3 linked regions of the Caenorhabditis elegans genome follow. The protein of the gene in region 2 interacts with the protein of the main gene of each other region in a pairwise test. Each region holds a gene or a part of one and is shown on either strand. Other genes may lie near its edges. The genes, in order: xbx-6, Y47D7A.13 and gsto-3.

Region 1 (4,646 bases), 5.3 Mb from region 2:
GGATATTTCAGAATTCTTAATGTGCTTTGAGATAGGGTAGGCTACGGTAGGATTGCTGGAAACATGTGTTAATTTTCGTAAAAGGAAATCTAAAATTATTGTATATTTCAGACTCTCTCGGCAGCAGTCATGACAATGTTTGTTACTGCTTGTTATAATGTTCAATCAGTTTTAATTTGTCTATGTATCACCACAGTATGCAGTGGATCAGTCATTATTTTCTCGATGAAAACGAAATCAGATTTGACGAGCAAAATGGGAATCGCTTTCATGCTTTCAATGGTTCTTTTCTCATTTGGAATCTTTGCACTCATCTTCACTTTGGCATTCAATTGGCAATTCCTTTATTCCGTTTATTCTGGACTTGCTGCTCTTTTAATGATGTTCTATTTGGCTATTGATGTACAACTTCTGATGGGTGGTCGTAAATATGAATTATCACCAGAAGATTACATTTTTGCTGCGATGGAAATCTTTTTGGACATTCTGAATATCTTCCTGATGCTTCTCAACATCTTTGGAAGAGGTCGTTAGATCTTTTCACATTTTTATATGTTTTATTGTTTGCTGTAAATACATGTTTTATTTCATTCAAAAATATATATTAAGTTTCATTTCACAAATAATTACGAGTTTAAGCGGGAAAGTAGCGAACGAGACATCTTAAACAACAGCAGTTTTCGTTTCTTTTTGTTAGAAATTTTTCGGGGTGAGGGACAGAGCAGGGGACAGGCAAAGAAGAACAAAGTGAACTACCAGTGTGTAAATTAGGCATGGAATCTAGTATAGAACAGAAAAAGAAGAAGGAATTGAAGAATCGAGAATCGATGAAGTCGGGTGAAGGCCGTTGTTTAGTCGCTGAAAAATACAATAATTAGGTTTACAAGTTGATAAAAAGCTTTTCACAACATAGAAACTGAAAATTGTTGCTTTTATCAACCAAATGATTCACATATTATCGAAAAAATACGATCGCACAAATTTCTCATAATTTATTTTTGATCTACCCTGTTGACTAGGCTCCTCCCCTTCCTTCGACAAGACAGCCACAACAAAATAACAGCGGCAACAAGATTGGGGGAGGAGCCTAGTCAACAGCGTAGATCAAAAAAAAATTATGAGAAATTTGTGCGATCGTATTTTTTCGATAATACACATTCATTTAAATTGGCACAATGTTACTAATACAGCGTTAGTGAACAATGACACAAAAAAATCTAAAAAGTAAACGTGCCTTTTGAAATACCACAAACTCAACCGCCTTACCACACGAAATGTGATAGAGAAATAGAAGATTCAGTTTCTGGAAATAACCAGAGGGTTTATTGAGAATGTCTAGCTAAATTTCAAAGTTTCCCAATGAATTTCTTACCTGGATCCGAACAAACTGAGAAGGAACCAGAACATCTGGACAATGTCAATGAAGATTTGAACAGAAGCAAAAATATATTCTTCTGGTGAGATTTCGTATTTCTTTCCTCCCATCAGCATTTGAACGTCGAGGAAGAGGTAGAGCATCATGATAAGAGCACCACCGAGAGCATATACCATCATCAAGAACTTGATCTTGAAGAACATTGAGCAGATCACGACAACAAGTCCGAAGAACATGAAGCACATTGAGATGATTAAGATATATCCCATGTGGCTGAAAATTTAGTATTTCGGATATATTTTTTGAAGATCAGTGGTTATAAATTATTCGTCATCATTCTAATTTCTGAACTAAGTTTAGTTTTTGCCAATTTTGCTATTTACAAAAATTAATCTGCGTACATCTTGTCAGAACATATTTAATATATTAAAAATTAGTTTCAAATTCGACTAAATAACCTAGGTACCTTAAATTTCAGAAAATTGGTGCTTGTTAGAGTATAAATCCGCTTATTGCAGGTTTAGCACAGCATTTGAAAAAAAGATTTGATTTAAAAAAAAACTTACGCAGTCAAATCGAATTTCGTCTGAGAGGCGACAATGACAATGGAGAACGTACATCCAATGCAGATCGCCAATGCCAGAAGAACCACGTTAGCATCATGATGAGCTGAAATGACCATGGTCATAACTGAAGTTGCTAGAGTCTGAAAACGATTTTTGGATTGATAAAGGGAAACTTGTTATATTAAAATGAACTTACGAAGATTCCAGTGACAATCAAATTAACTGGGAATTTACGACGAACTCCTTCACAGCAAACCAATGACAAGTAGGTAACGAAGAAGATTACACTGGAAATATTAAATATTAATCAAGATTTCAATTTATGTACATACTAGGACCCAAGGTAGAGAGCCGAATTTCTGCGGACCATTCTCATCGTATCATCATGAACCCACGGGATAACAGTGACTGCGGCAACGATGCAAAGCTAAAATTTTTTGAAAATAGATTTAAAACTTTTTGAAAGTACTACTTACCATGATAAAGACCAAACTGAAAACTTTTCGAACGAAAGCAGCGCGGACAGTCTTATCAGAAAATTGGAATGAATACTTTCCATCTGGATTGTCTCCACCACCGTGTTGCCCATTTTCCATCTGATTGAACATAGCTCCGTGCATTGGTGGCGGTGGTGAGAAATAGGCTCCACCTTAAGAATATTGAGGTTTTGAATCGTTTTAAAACAGTTAGTTGTGAAAATATAATTTAATACGTTTCAATGTAAAATTTTTGAAAAAAATCCACCTTGCGCATTAACAAATTTTGTCGATTTTTTTTCGGGTTTCCTTTGGTATTTCGATTAATGACGTCACATTACAAAAATACAATTAAAAAATGATCAAATTTATTGATCGAAGAGCTAGTTGCTAAAAGTTTCGATATCTTCTTTACTTATTTATTTTGGAAGTTAAAATATTCTTAATTTATGTCTAACTTCTGATATCGCTGACTTTTTTATTTTGTTTTTAAAAAATCTCTCACCTTGATTTTGATTTTGTCCGTCGCCTGTATTGAATCCTGGTGGCGGAGGGCCTTGATTGGGGTAGGGATTCTGATAAGCCGGGTTGTATGGCTGTTGATTGTACGACATATCTGGAATTAAATAATATTATTGAAACGAAAATACAAGAATAAAATGTAGTCAACAAGTGAGATAGAAGCAAAAAAGTATAGAATTTCATGGAAATGGCAATTTAAAAAGTCCCAGTTGTTTATCACATTACTCGAGTTTCCATGGAAACATGGTTCTCCAGCTCACGAGGGGAATTTCTCGTCTGTTTTCAGACAAATTCTAGTAGCTAGAGAAATGTGCGTCAGTTATAGGAAGAAATAAGATTATTTTAAGGCTTAGAGGGAAAGTCATATCTAGATTGAAGGATTAGAATGGTTGAGAAGATGAAAATAATTTGATTGTTTTCAGGAATGAAGAATTTGTCATATTTTAGTTTAAAAAGATGAGCTTCTACAGATTTAGTATTAAAATTGTGTGTTTTATACTGGTGCTCGGATTTTTAAGAAGACAAAATATTATAGAAAGATTTTCAGATGCAGTTACAAATAACTCAAACTCCGGTACTTTCTGGTGTTGCTAGAGCACGAATTTTTAGCGTTCGAGCAGAAAGAACGAATGTACTCATATTTGTCGATAGGAAAGTAAATACGCTCAACGTTCTTCGTTCGAAAACTGAGACGGGTATTATCTTTCTCATTCATGCCTAGACTTCAAATAAGTAGAAAAACCAAAATGCAGTGGAAGAAGAAGACGTGTGATTTCGCAACAGAATGGCACGTCTTCTTCACTTTCACGAGAATGCAGCATCGGGCAATTGTGATGAGATCTCGTTGAGAGAAGAGACGCAGTAAACTGACCAAGGCTTTGGATATCTGCGTCTCTATTGTTTGCAATGGTCGGGGTTTGCCTCGTCAAAAAAAAATCGATGTCGACCAGAAAACAAGAGTTTTAAGTAGTTCTCAATATAGAGCATCTATTCAAAAATGTAGGTTTTAGTTTGAACGGTGACTTTTTTGTATTGTCGGAACAAGAACGACGTGATAATCTATGAAAAACAGGAACAGAGAAAGCAATGAAACGTTGTCTCTCTTTTACTCGCCAGGTCAAACAAAAAATACAACGACCTCGGCCAAAGGAGAGAAACAAGAGAAACGCATGTGTTGATGCTCGAAGACCACTACTCTTTTGAAAAAGCAGTGAAGCTTAAAAGCAGTGTTTCACATCTAACACTGGAACATGAATCGAAAGAAAAACTATATCATAGAGATATAGAAATTTTTAAAGTGAGGGAACAGTTGTATAGAATGAAAAATGTTGAGTCACCGTTGAGAGATCAAGAAATCTCTGTAGAAAAACGGAAGAGATGAGGAGAAAGTGAAAACATCAAAAGTTTGAACAAAAAATTTCATCAACAATAGTGAGATGATCAATAAGTTAAATGCTAACAATCTCGAAACTTTTACATAATTTACTAAGTTTTTCTAAGCTTAAAAAAATTCCAGACGATAAAACAGATTACAAAATCCAAAATTTTATTAATTTTTTAAAAACTTTGTATGATTTTGATTCCCTACGGAAGACAATAGAAGGGAAATGAAGAGAGAAATCGAAAAAAGCGTGAAAATTCATCGCAGAATTTCTACAGTACACTTAAAGGCGCATGCGTCAAAAAATAGTTCGCGGGGCGACACCC
Region 2 (3,472 bases):
CCTCTGAGACCACTGCTGAATTGTTAAGACAAATTTCAAATTTCGATTTGAACTTTGTTTTTGCGTACCATTTCTACTGTGATTACTTTATTTTGAAAAGTTATATCTCGGTTATTTTTAAAAATATCAATAGGCAATTGCATTAGTTGAGAGTTTTTAAGCAGTCCAACGACTGAAAAAAATTGTGGAAACTTGTGAATTTTTAAGTTTTAGAGATAATTGACTTTGAATGTATGAAACTTTGATCTTCCGATTTTTCTTTTTTTAAATGTTGCTTTTTTTGAATTTTTAAACACAAAAAGTTCCGTTCAAAATTGATATTTATATTTTTCTTTGAACCAATTTTCACTTTTATAACAATGTTCTAAAACAAAAATTCCTGCTATTTTTCTCACATGCTGCCTCGAGATTCAGATGATTATCCCGTGTTTTTTTTTCATAAGTCTATAAGAATACAAACTCAAATCAAGAGAACAAAGTTCATTGAAAGACCAAATTTTGACTCATTAACGAGAAATATACAGAAAAAACCATAAAACCAAAAAAAAAACAGTTAGAGAAATATATCATCGAATCTATGCCTTGGCGGCCTTCTTGAGGTGGAATCTCTGGCGGTATCCGGAAGCGGAAGTCTCAACGACTTGCTCGGCAACAGCTGGCTGCTGGGCTCCGTACTCGGCGGCTGGCTGAGCTTGAGCTGGGGCGGCTTCGAAGGTTTGTTGGACAGTCTCTTGTTGGGCTTGGACTGGAGCCTGCTCTCCGTATGAGGCAGCTGGAGCCTGCTCTTGGACTGGAGCTGGGGCTTGCTCTTGGACTGGGGCTTGTTGCTGTTGTTGGTATCCTTGTCCGACTTGTTGTTGCTCAGTGACGACGGCGGCTGGGGCTTGTTGCTGGTATCCGGCTCCTTGAGCTGGGGCTTGTTGCTGGTATCCGGCTCCTTGAGCTGGGGCTTGTTGCTGGTATCCGGCTCCTCCTCCGACAGCTGGTCCTTGTTGGTATCCGGCTCCTTGGGCTGGGGCTCCTCCTTGGTATCCAGCTCCTCCTCCGATTGGTCCAGCGTATCCTCCCTGAGCTCCTCCTCCGATTGGTCCGGCTCCGGCGTATCCTCCCTGAGCTCCTCCTCCGATTGGTCCAGCTCCGGCGTATCCTCCCTGAGCTCCTCCTCCGATTGGTCCAGCTCCGGCGTAACCTCCTTGAGCTCCACCGAATCCTCCTCCAATTGGTCCAGCTCCGGCGTATGAGCCTCCTCCTCCGATGGCTGGGGCGGCTTGGTAAGCTCCTCCGAATCCTCCAGCTCCTCCGTATCCACCTCCTGGTTGAGCGTATCCTCCACCGATTGGTGCTTGTGGGGCGACGGCGTAACCTCCGGCAGCTGGAGCACCTCCTCCGCATCCTCCACCGCATGGTGGTGGTGGTGGTGGGGCACAGCAGCCACCGCCACCTCCTCCGAGAAGGTTGAAGAGGAAGGCGTTAGAGCATCCGAAGAGAGCAACGAAGACGATGTACTTCATTCTGCAAAGTTCATTTGTAAAAATAAGCAGGGTGAAAATGAAGTAGACGGTAAGAAAAGATTTAAAAAAAAATTATACATTTCAATAAAATGAAAGAAAAAACATATAAAAAAGAGAAAAAATAGTAGTAGCGAAAATCTGAGAATACACAAAAGAAAATCGTATTAAATTGAATAATTCCGTCTGAACCAATCGGCTTTATATATGGTGCCAATGGATCATGAAACCTTGCGTAACACTTTCTAAACGAGAGATCGCACCTACCGAAGAGACCCCAGAGAGCCAAGCCCCTCCCCTCTTCACAGCTTCACCTCATTTTTTTGGGCGGGTACTTCCAAGTGGGGAAGATAACTATCTCAATTACCGGTTTTGGCGGCCATTCTGTGATTGTTCTCATTGAGGTTTTTTTCTTGAATAATTCGAGAAGGAGGTTAAGTCAAGTGTAAGACCTCCTTTATGAGGTTTTGGATGTGTAAACAAACGGTATACAAATGTTAAGTGGATAGTTTTTGTATCAAGAGGTTTGGTGGAACTTAGAAATTAGTTTCTATAGTACCAATTAATCTGCCAATCATTTTGGTAGAAGTATAGGAGAGTAGATTACACAAAGCTTATAAATGACCATTGGAACTTCCGGTTTCACTAAGTGACGCCGCGAAACTTTAATATATGAATTTGCAACATTTATGGGTTATTACGTAAGAAAATCGGCGTCGGTCTGTTTGTAGGCGTTCATGTAGGCGTCCAAGCACCTGCCTGACGGTAAGGCGACCTCACGCCTTCTGCTAAAAAACTTGTATTTTTCACTTTCTTTGGATTTCATTTTCTTCAAAATTTAGGTAAAATAAGAAATTTTGAAATTTGTGCCGACACGTTTCAGGCAGGCACGCCAAAACTGTACCTGCCTGCCAAGAAATTTTCTTGCCTCATGCCTGCCTGCCTACCAAGGCATTTTTTAGTTTTTTTTTGTGTTTTGACGAAAAATCGGGATTTTGGTGTCTTTTTGACAGCAAAAAATTAAATGATTTTTTTTCGAAAAAGTTAAAAAAAACCAAAAAATATTAGAATATCCACTTGGACTTTCACCGTAGGCAGGCGAGCATTCAGTTCTGCCTACCTAACTTGTACCTGCCTGCCTAGTGTCTCCTAACTCTGGTGTTTGGTAGTTTTTGATGCTTTCACAGAGTTGGTTTACATCTGTGAAAAAACGTGAAGAGAATTCAGGTGAATTTTGAATGTAGACGCGTAGGCACAGTCCAAGCGTAGTAGGCACAATGCAGGCATGGTAGACTTAATACATTGTGTCCTGTCCTCGATGGGCTCAGGTTCACTGAGTCATAACTCGCACATCACGAATTTACTCCGATTTAAGATTTTTTTTTTCTGAAAATAATCGTGATTTTCTGCACCTTCTCTCCTTTCATTTTTCACCATATTAGTAAAATTGATAACCCAATAAGTGAAAGCCTTTTCTATGTTTTACGCAGTTTTTTTGCCTTTCCAGCATTACGTAACTTTCTATCCTCTTTCTCCCTCATTCTCCTATCTCTTCATTTTTTCTAGAAACCTGCCGTTATCTTTTGTTTTTGACGCAACCGTGTTCACCTTCTCTAGCCCCATATTTCGCGTTGCCATTGGAAAATAAATCCTTCCGCTTCTTGAAAAAATCCTGTTCCTTTCGTTTGCCAAAGCTATTTGGCAAAAAAAATTTGAGGAAAACCCTGATCTTTATCAGTGCTTTTGTTCCGTGTGCTACCCCCACCGATTTTGCATAACAAGGACAATTTTTTTAGAGTATAACAGGATATTTGTCGATTCAAATCAGTTTGTGTCTTATTTTTTTTTGTGTGAAGGTCGTATTGAAATTTGGATCAGCATATTCTTTTCTATTTTACTGCTTCGGCAACTTAAATTTTCAGAAACCGGCATATGTCGGTTGCCAAGTTTTTGGCATTTGGTAA
Region 3 (5,767 bases), on a different chromosome or scaffold from region 2:
TGGAGCTCAGAAAACTATAATGTTACGCGAAACTTACAAAAATTGGTAACAAGTGGGGAGTACATCTCAATGGACACTCTTGAAACAGAATTGAAAATTTTCAAACTTAAAAAAGTCTTTAAATTACTAGTTGTAGTTGGAAGAATCGAAAAATTAGCTAAAAACCAAAAAAAAAAAGTTACAAAATGGGAGTACACCCAGATGGCCACTCTCAAAGTCGATAATTTTTTTTAATGACGTACAGTGCAGTTTTTTCCACTTCTACAGCTTTAAAGGGGGCGCCTTTACGCGTTATGGTTTTGCCTTTGTCTGAACATTTTGGAAAATGTTAGAAAATTCATGCAAACATTTAGAGTTAGTTAACCAAAAATCGAGAGTTTTTTTTTTCAAAAAATACTTTATTATAATTATATAAATACGACGTTCGTTACAAATTTTGTTCAATTTTTCCCATAAATGCCAAAATCATAATTCGGCACACCCATTGAAAAACTATCCAGGTAGGCTTTGTGATGGGTCAGCGGGCGGGATGAGAATTTTATCTGGAATTAGATTTTTCAGAACTTCACCATATTTTTTCCCCAGTTTTTTTCAAAAAAAAATCGTGTTTGCAAAAACCTAATACCTCTGGCTGATTCTGCATTCTAGCAATATATGCTCCAATTTTCGGGTAATGAAGTCCTGGGAAATATCGGAATTGTGAGTTTGGAGACATTGTGAGCAGTTGGAGGCGTTCCAAGAATGGCCACATCAAATAGTCGGCGTATCCTGGTTGACGGCCTGGAAATGTAAAAAATTTAGTGGCTATTTGATGCACTCCCGGCTTGTAACTGTGGATAGAATTAGGGGTGGACGAAAAACGATTTACTCCGGCTATTGGCAAACCGGCCAAAACTGTCGGAATTGAAAATTTCCGGCAGATCGGCAAATCGGCAATTTTTCAAAAATTACCTCCGTAAAAAGTGTCTCTGAGCAAATTCTCCGAATTCCTTAGCGCACTGTGAACATTCATGTCGTTTTGTCGTTGAGCCTGTGGATTATTGGAACTACCGTAGAATTCGAATAACGCGTTCATTATCTGAAATGGGTAGCTTTTAGAAAACTAGGAAATATAGAAAAAAAAACAAATCGAATGTTTCGAACTCACTATCAAAGTTGAATTTTCCTTTGTTTTTCAAAAAAAAAGTTTCAGTTTTTTTTCATCGAAGTTTTTCCAAATATCGACAATAAGAGTATCAAAATGTAAGAACAAGAAAAAAATTTCAAAAAATTTTTATAAGGACTTTTTATAAGGAAAAAAAGGTGTACTTTGTAGCAGGGGATTGTTGGCAACTGCCGTTCGGCAAACTTGCCGTTTGCCGGTTTGCCGATTTGCCAGAAAATATCATTTCCGGTAATTTGCTGGTTTGCCGGAAATTTCATTTCTGGCAATTTGCCGGTTTGCCGGAAAATTTTTTTTCTAAAAATTCCAAAAAAAGGCAAAACCACGATTTGCGGGAAATTTCCAATTCCGGCAGTTTTCCGTTTTGCCGGACATTTTTTCCGCCTGTTATTGTATTCGTACTGTAGGAATACTGTAGGACTACAGTAATTTCAGATAACGTTCAATAAACTTCAGAAAAGTATTAGAAAGTTGTGGAAAATTCCAAAAATCTTCGAAAACTTTTAGAAGTTTGAATAAACGTGTGGAAACTTCTGGAAAGTTCTTAAAACTTTAAAAAATCATGAAATTTGTTGAAAAATGTCTGGAAACTTTAGGAAAGTTTGTGAAGTGTCAAAAAACTGTAAGAAAAAAATCGTAGAAATTTTGAAAAAAAACTTTCCAATGTGAATAATCAAATTTAAAAGAAGAAAATATAACGTTCCAAAACTTTAAGAAAAAAAAATGTGTTTAAAACATTTCCGACCGGAAAATTAGGATTTCCATAGATTTTTGAGGAACAAAGTTTCAAAAACTAACCGGCGACAATCGTTCCACTAGAATTTTCTGGTGAGCTTTCTCATATGCATCTCGTGGCAAAATAGTGTTAGTTGGGAATAGTTCATCAAGGTATTCAACAATGACATTCGATTCCCACACAACTTTTCCATTAATTTCAAGTGCTGGAACTCTTCCGATTGGTGACTTGGGAAGGTACCAATTGGGACTTCTATCCGGATTTACATTTACTACTTCTACTCTGAAATTTGGTAATTTTTAGAATTTTAGGAATGCTTTGAGACTTTTATAACAAAACTAAATGTCGATTTGGTGAAAAAAAAATATTAGAATAAAAATGTTGCTCCAAAACTGGATATTTGCAAACTTTTCATATTTTTTAAAATGTGAAAGGTGGGCAAACGTTCTGCAATTTTATCTTTTAATTTCTAGAAAAATGCTAGATGTTTCCTGAGATTTTTGACAGTTTCAAAAATGTCATAATTCCAAAAATTCCAAAATGTCAAAACTGCAAAAAAATTTTGTCGAAAATTACACTTTTCTGGGAAAAAAATTTAATTTGAAGGAGAAGTACCGTCCAGAGGTGGGCGGATATTTTTCGGATATTTTCTAATAATGAATTTATCAATAAGTATTGATGTAGTTATTCTGGAAGAAATGTATCCGAACCAAAGAGTAACTATTAAGCAACATTTTAATATGATAAAACCTAGAGAAATTCCACAAGTTTTCCTTACCGAGACCTTAAAACTTATTAGCCGAGCAACATCGGATATCGGATATTACGGATATTACGGATATCGGATAATGGACTTGCATATTGTTTATACAGAAAACTTGTAGAATTTTTCTAGGTTTTATCATATTAAAATGTTGCTTAATAGTTACTTTTTTGTTCGGATACATTTGTTCCAGAATAACTACATCAATACTTATTGATAAATTCATTATTAGAAAATATCCGAAAAAAATATCCGCCCACCTCTGGTACCGTCTGTGGGTTTTTGTATTAAATAATAAAACAACGTCCTAATAAACCGAAAAAAACTGTGAAATAATTTATAGAACTTTTCTAAATTTTTTTCAATTTTTCAACAAAAAAAAAGGCTGTGACGTCATTTATGACATTTTTTGTGTTTTTTCTTGGTTTTATAATTTTCAACACAATTTGCCAATTTTTCAGGCGTTTTTTTCCGTAAGAAAACTTGGCAATCGGAAAGAAACTTGCCGAAACTCTAAAATTTACCTAAAAATCGATTATTTAACGATTATTTATTCCCGCATTTTTGATAGATCAAACTGTAACCAGGCCACGTGAAAACATTCAAAATCAATACATCTAAAATTTTATAACAAAACAAAAAACTAACGGAATATTCTTCTTGGCCAAATAGATCAATACTCTCTGTGCATATGGACAAAACCGCATACTATATAATCGATAATTGCCAGGTGTCAACGGAGGTTCGATACTACCCGGATGTAACGTTGGAGAGTTTAAACCACGTATATTTGAGCCGACACTTGAATATGAGCTGAATCGAATCGGAACTGCAGCCGATGATGGAGATGATCCTGGCGGTGGAACTGATCGATATGATACAAATAGTTTTTCGTGGGGGTTGTAGGCTGGCTGCTGGGGTGGCTGGAAATCGAGCTGAGTTGAATTTTGAAGCAAAAAAATGTAATGCGTACCTGATAAGCCTGATCAATTGCTACACTTGCTAGTTGGGTGAGGAATTGCATACATAGTGCCGCCGACGTGGAACAATTCCCAGGTAGGACCATCTGGACATTGAAAAAATTAAATTTATTCAGCAAATTACGGGCATCAAATTCTTTCCAAAGTTGTGAACGTTTTCCGATACTGAAGTGAGTAAGAAATAATCAAAAATTGGAAATCAGGAACCAGGAATTATTAATAGCATAATTCAGTTGTTTTTGTTCGGCAAATTGGCAATTTGCCGGTTTGGTGATTTGCCCTTTGCCGGATATTAATTTGCCGGAAGCGGTTAGAGGGATTTTTGAAAGGAATGAAACATTTAAAACTGTGCATTTTTTTAAAAGATTTTCTTTAGATATTTTCATAGAATTTGCTTTCTTTTCAAAATAGATGCGTAAAATTTTGCCGATTAATTTTTTTTCTAGCAAATTCGGCAAATCGGCAATTTGCCGGAAATTTTCATTTTTGGCAAATTGCTGGTTTGCCAGAAATTTCCAATTCAGGCAATTTGCCAAAAATAAAATGCAAAACCTCAATTAGCCGAAAATTTTCGGCAATTGCAGTTTTTCTGAGAAATCAGCAATTTGCCGGTTTGCCTCTGTGCCGGAAATTTTCAATTCCGGCAATCTCTCAATTTGCCGTTTTGCCAATTTGCCGGAAATTTTTGATTTCGGCAATCTGCCGATTTGCCGGAAAAAAGACCAATAGAACTTTTAGATGTCAGATTCCTTCGAAGACGCTAATTTTTTGAATATAGTATTATAGGACCGAAAATATAGAAAACTGAAATCTGGAATTTGGTGTCGTACGAGCATTTTAGAGTCTGATAAAGCCTAAAAAAAAAGAAAAAAAATTTATTTTAGGATGAATAGATCTAGTCTTCCTCCTCGAAACTTCTTATATCCCCCAAAAAACAGCCAAAAGATCGAAAGGCGGCGGTATTGGGGCTAAGGGAACATGAAAGAACAGCTAGCTGGAGATTTAGAGAGACAAAAACACTGGAGCAACATAAAGTGGCATGACAAGAGAGTTGGAGCACAGGCGGGAGCTCCCCCCGTCCTCCCGTGAACCTCAAGTGTTGTTATTTTCTGGAGAGAGACACACAGATTTGTGTGAGCAGGGAAAGACAGAGAGAGAGAGAGAGACACCTTCTTCAATATGTTCAGATGTTTGTTCTTTGACCACCACTGCCGCCTTTTTGAAATAATATTTGTAGTTCTTTTGTAGAAAATGAGTTTTTGATGGCAGAAATTTGAATCCCTGTTTGCGCGGAAAATGACACAAAAACTTGATGAGCAATTTGGGTTGTCAAATTCTACCATTGAGCAGTTTTGCATATGATTTGGCAAGTGGTGCCAGAGTGTCTAATTTCCGTTTGATCTACGTATATCTACAAAAAATGTGGTAGCTGTGATGCAGAGTTCTCAATTGATTGGGCAAAAAATGCCCGCATTGTAGATCAAACCGTAATGGGACAAACTGACACCACGTGATTTGGTTGAATTTGACTGCAATTGTTTAAAACTTGGCCAAAAACTTGAACAAACATCGACATCCAAATGTGCTCAGTGGGAATTTAGGGTGAGGTCAGATTTTGTGAATTTCACTAAAAAAATAATTGAAGAGCGAAATTTGTGAGTAAAATTCATTTTGGTTGGGGTTTACTGAAATTTTTGAAAAATTTAAGCAAAAAGGCAAAAACCGTGTAAAGACACGGAAATCGACATCACAAATTGCTCGGAAAAGTGATGTTTAACAAATTTTGCTAGGGATCCGCAGTGAAGAAAATTTCCAAATAAAATGTAAATAAATTGAAATTGACATCAAAATTCGCTAGGTCAAAAACTAGTGTTTAGAGCCAATTTTACCGCAATTATTTCGAAATTTGAGCAAAAATCCTTTGGTATCAAAATTTTAGTTAGTGGTCAAAAAAATTGAGAAAATTGGAAAACTGAAATTGACATCACATTTTGCTCGGCGCGAATTCAATTTTTTAATAGAAATTGGGTATATCAAGTTCCTATATAGAAAATTTTAATTTCAATAATCAAGTAGATGTTGTATTTTTTGATTACAGTAAGGCATTTGACAAAGTAAACCATTCA

Evidence for each region.
Region 1: the proteins of Y47D7A.13 (region 2) and xbx-6 interact in a two-hybrid assay, tested with the Caenorhabditis elegans proteins (one large-scale study listed by BioGRID).
Region 3: the proteins of Y47D7A.13 (region 2) and gsto-3 interact in a two-hybrid assay, tested with the Caenorhabditis elegans proteins (one large-scale study listed by BioGRID).

What each region holds. Positions count from the first base shown.
Region 1 is NC_003283.11:9,703,745-9,708,390, reverse strand, and holds xbx-6 (Protein lifeguard 1-like), read right to left. Parts: upstream 3,036-4,646; 5' UTR 3,032-3,035; coding exon 2,923-3,031; intron 2,591-2,922; coding exon 2,418-2,590; intron 2,369-2,417; coding exon 2,274-2,368; intron 2,229-2,273; coding exon 2,138-2,228; intron 2,082-2,137; coding exon 1,942-2,081; intron 1,649-1,941; coding exon 1,373-1,648; exon of another isoform or gene 1,304-1,372; coding exon 1,297-1,303; 3' UTR 1,267-1,296; exon of another isoform or gene 1,051-1,266; intron 859-1,050; coding exon of another isoform or gene 852-858; 3' UTR 564-851; downstream 1-563. Other genes in the region: tag-120 (Transmembrane BAX inhibitor motif-containing protein 4), read left to right, coding at 112-534.
Region 2 is NC_003283.11:4,434,417-4,437,888, forward strand, and holds Y47D7A.13 (Prion-like-(Q/N-rich)-domain-bearing protein), read right to left. Parts: upstream 1,512-3,472; coding exon 576-1,511; downstream 1-575.
Region 3 is NC_003281.10:377,572-383,338, forward strand, and holds gsto-3 (Glutathione-dependent dehydroascorbate reductase), read right to left. Parts: upstream 3,728-5,767; coding exon 3,635-3,727; intron 3,585-3,634; coding exon 3,310-3,584; intron 2,181-3,309; coding exon 1,961-2,180; intron 1,079-1,960; coding exon 952-1,078; intron 781-951; coding exon 566-780; downstream 1-565. Other genes in the region: K10F12.7 (Ovule protein), read right to left, coding at 4,610-4,999.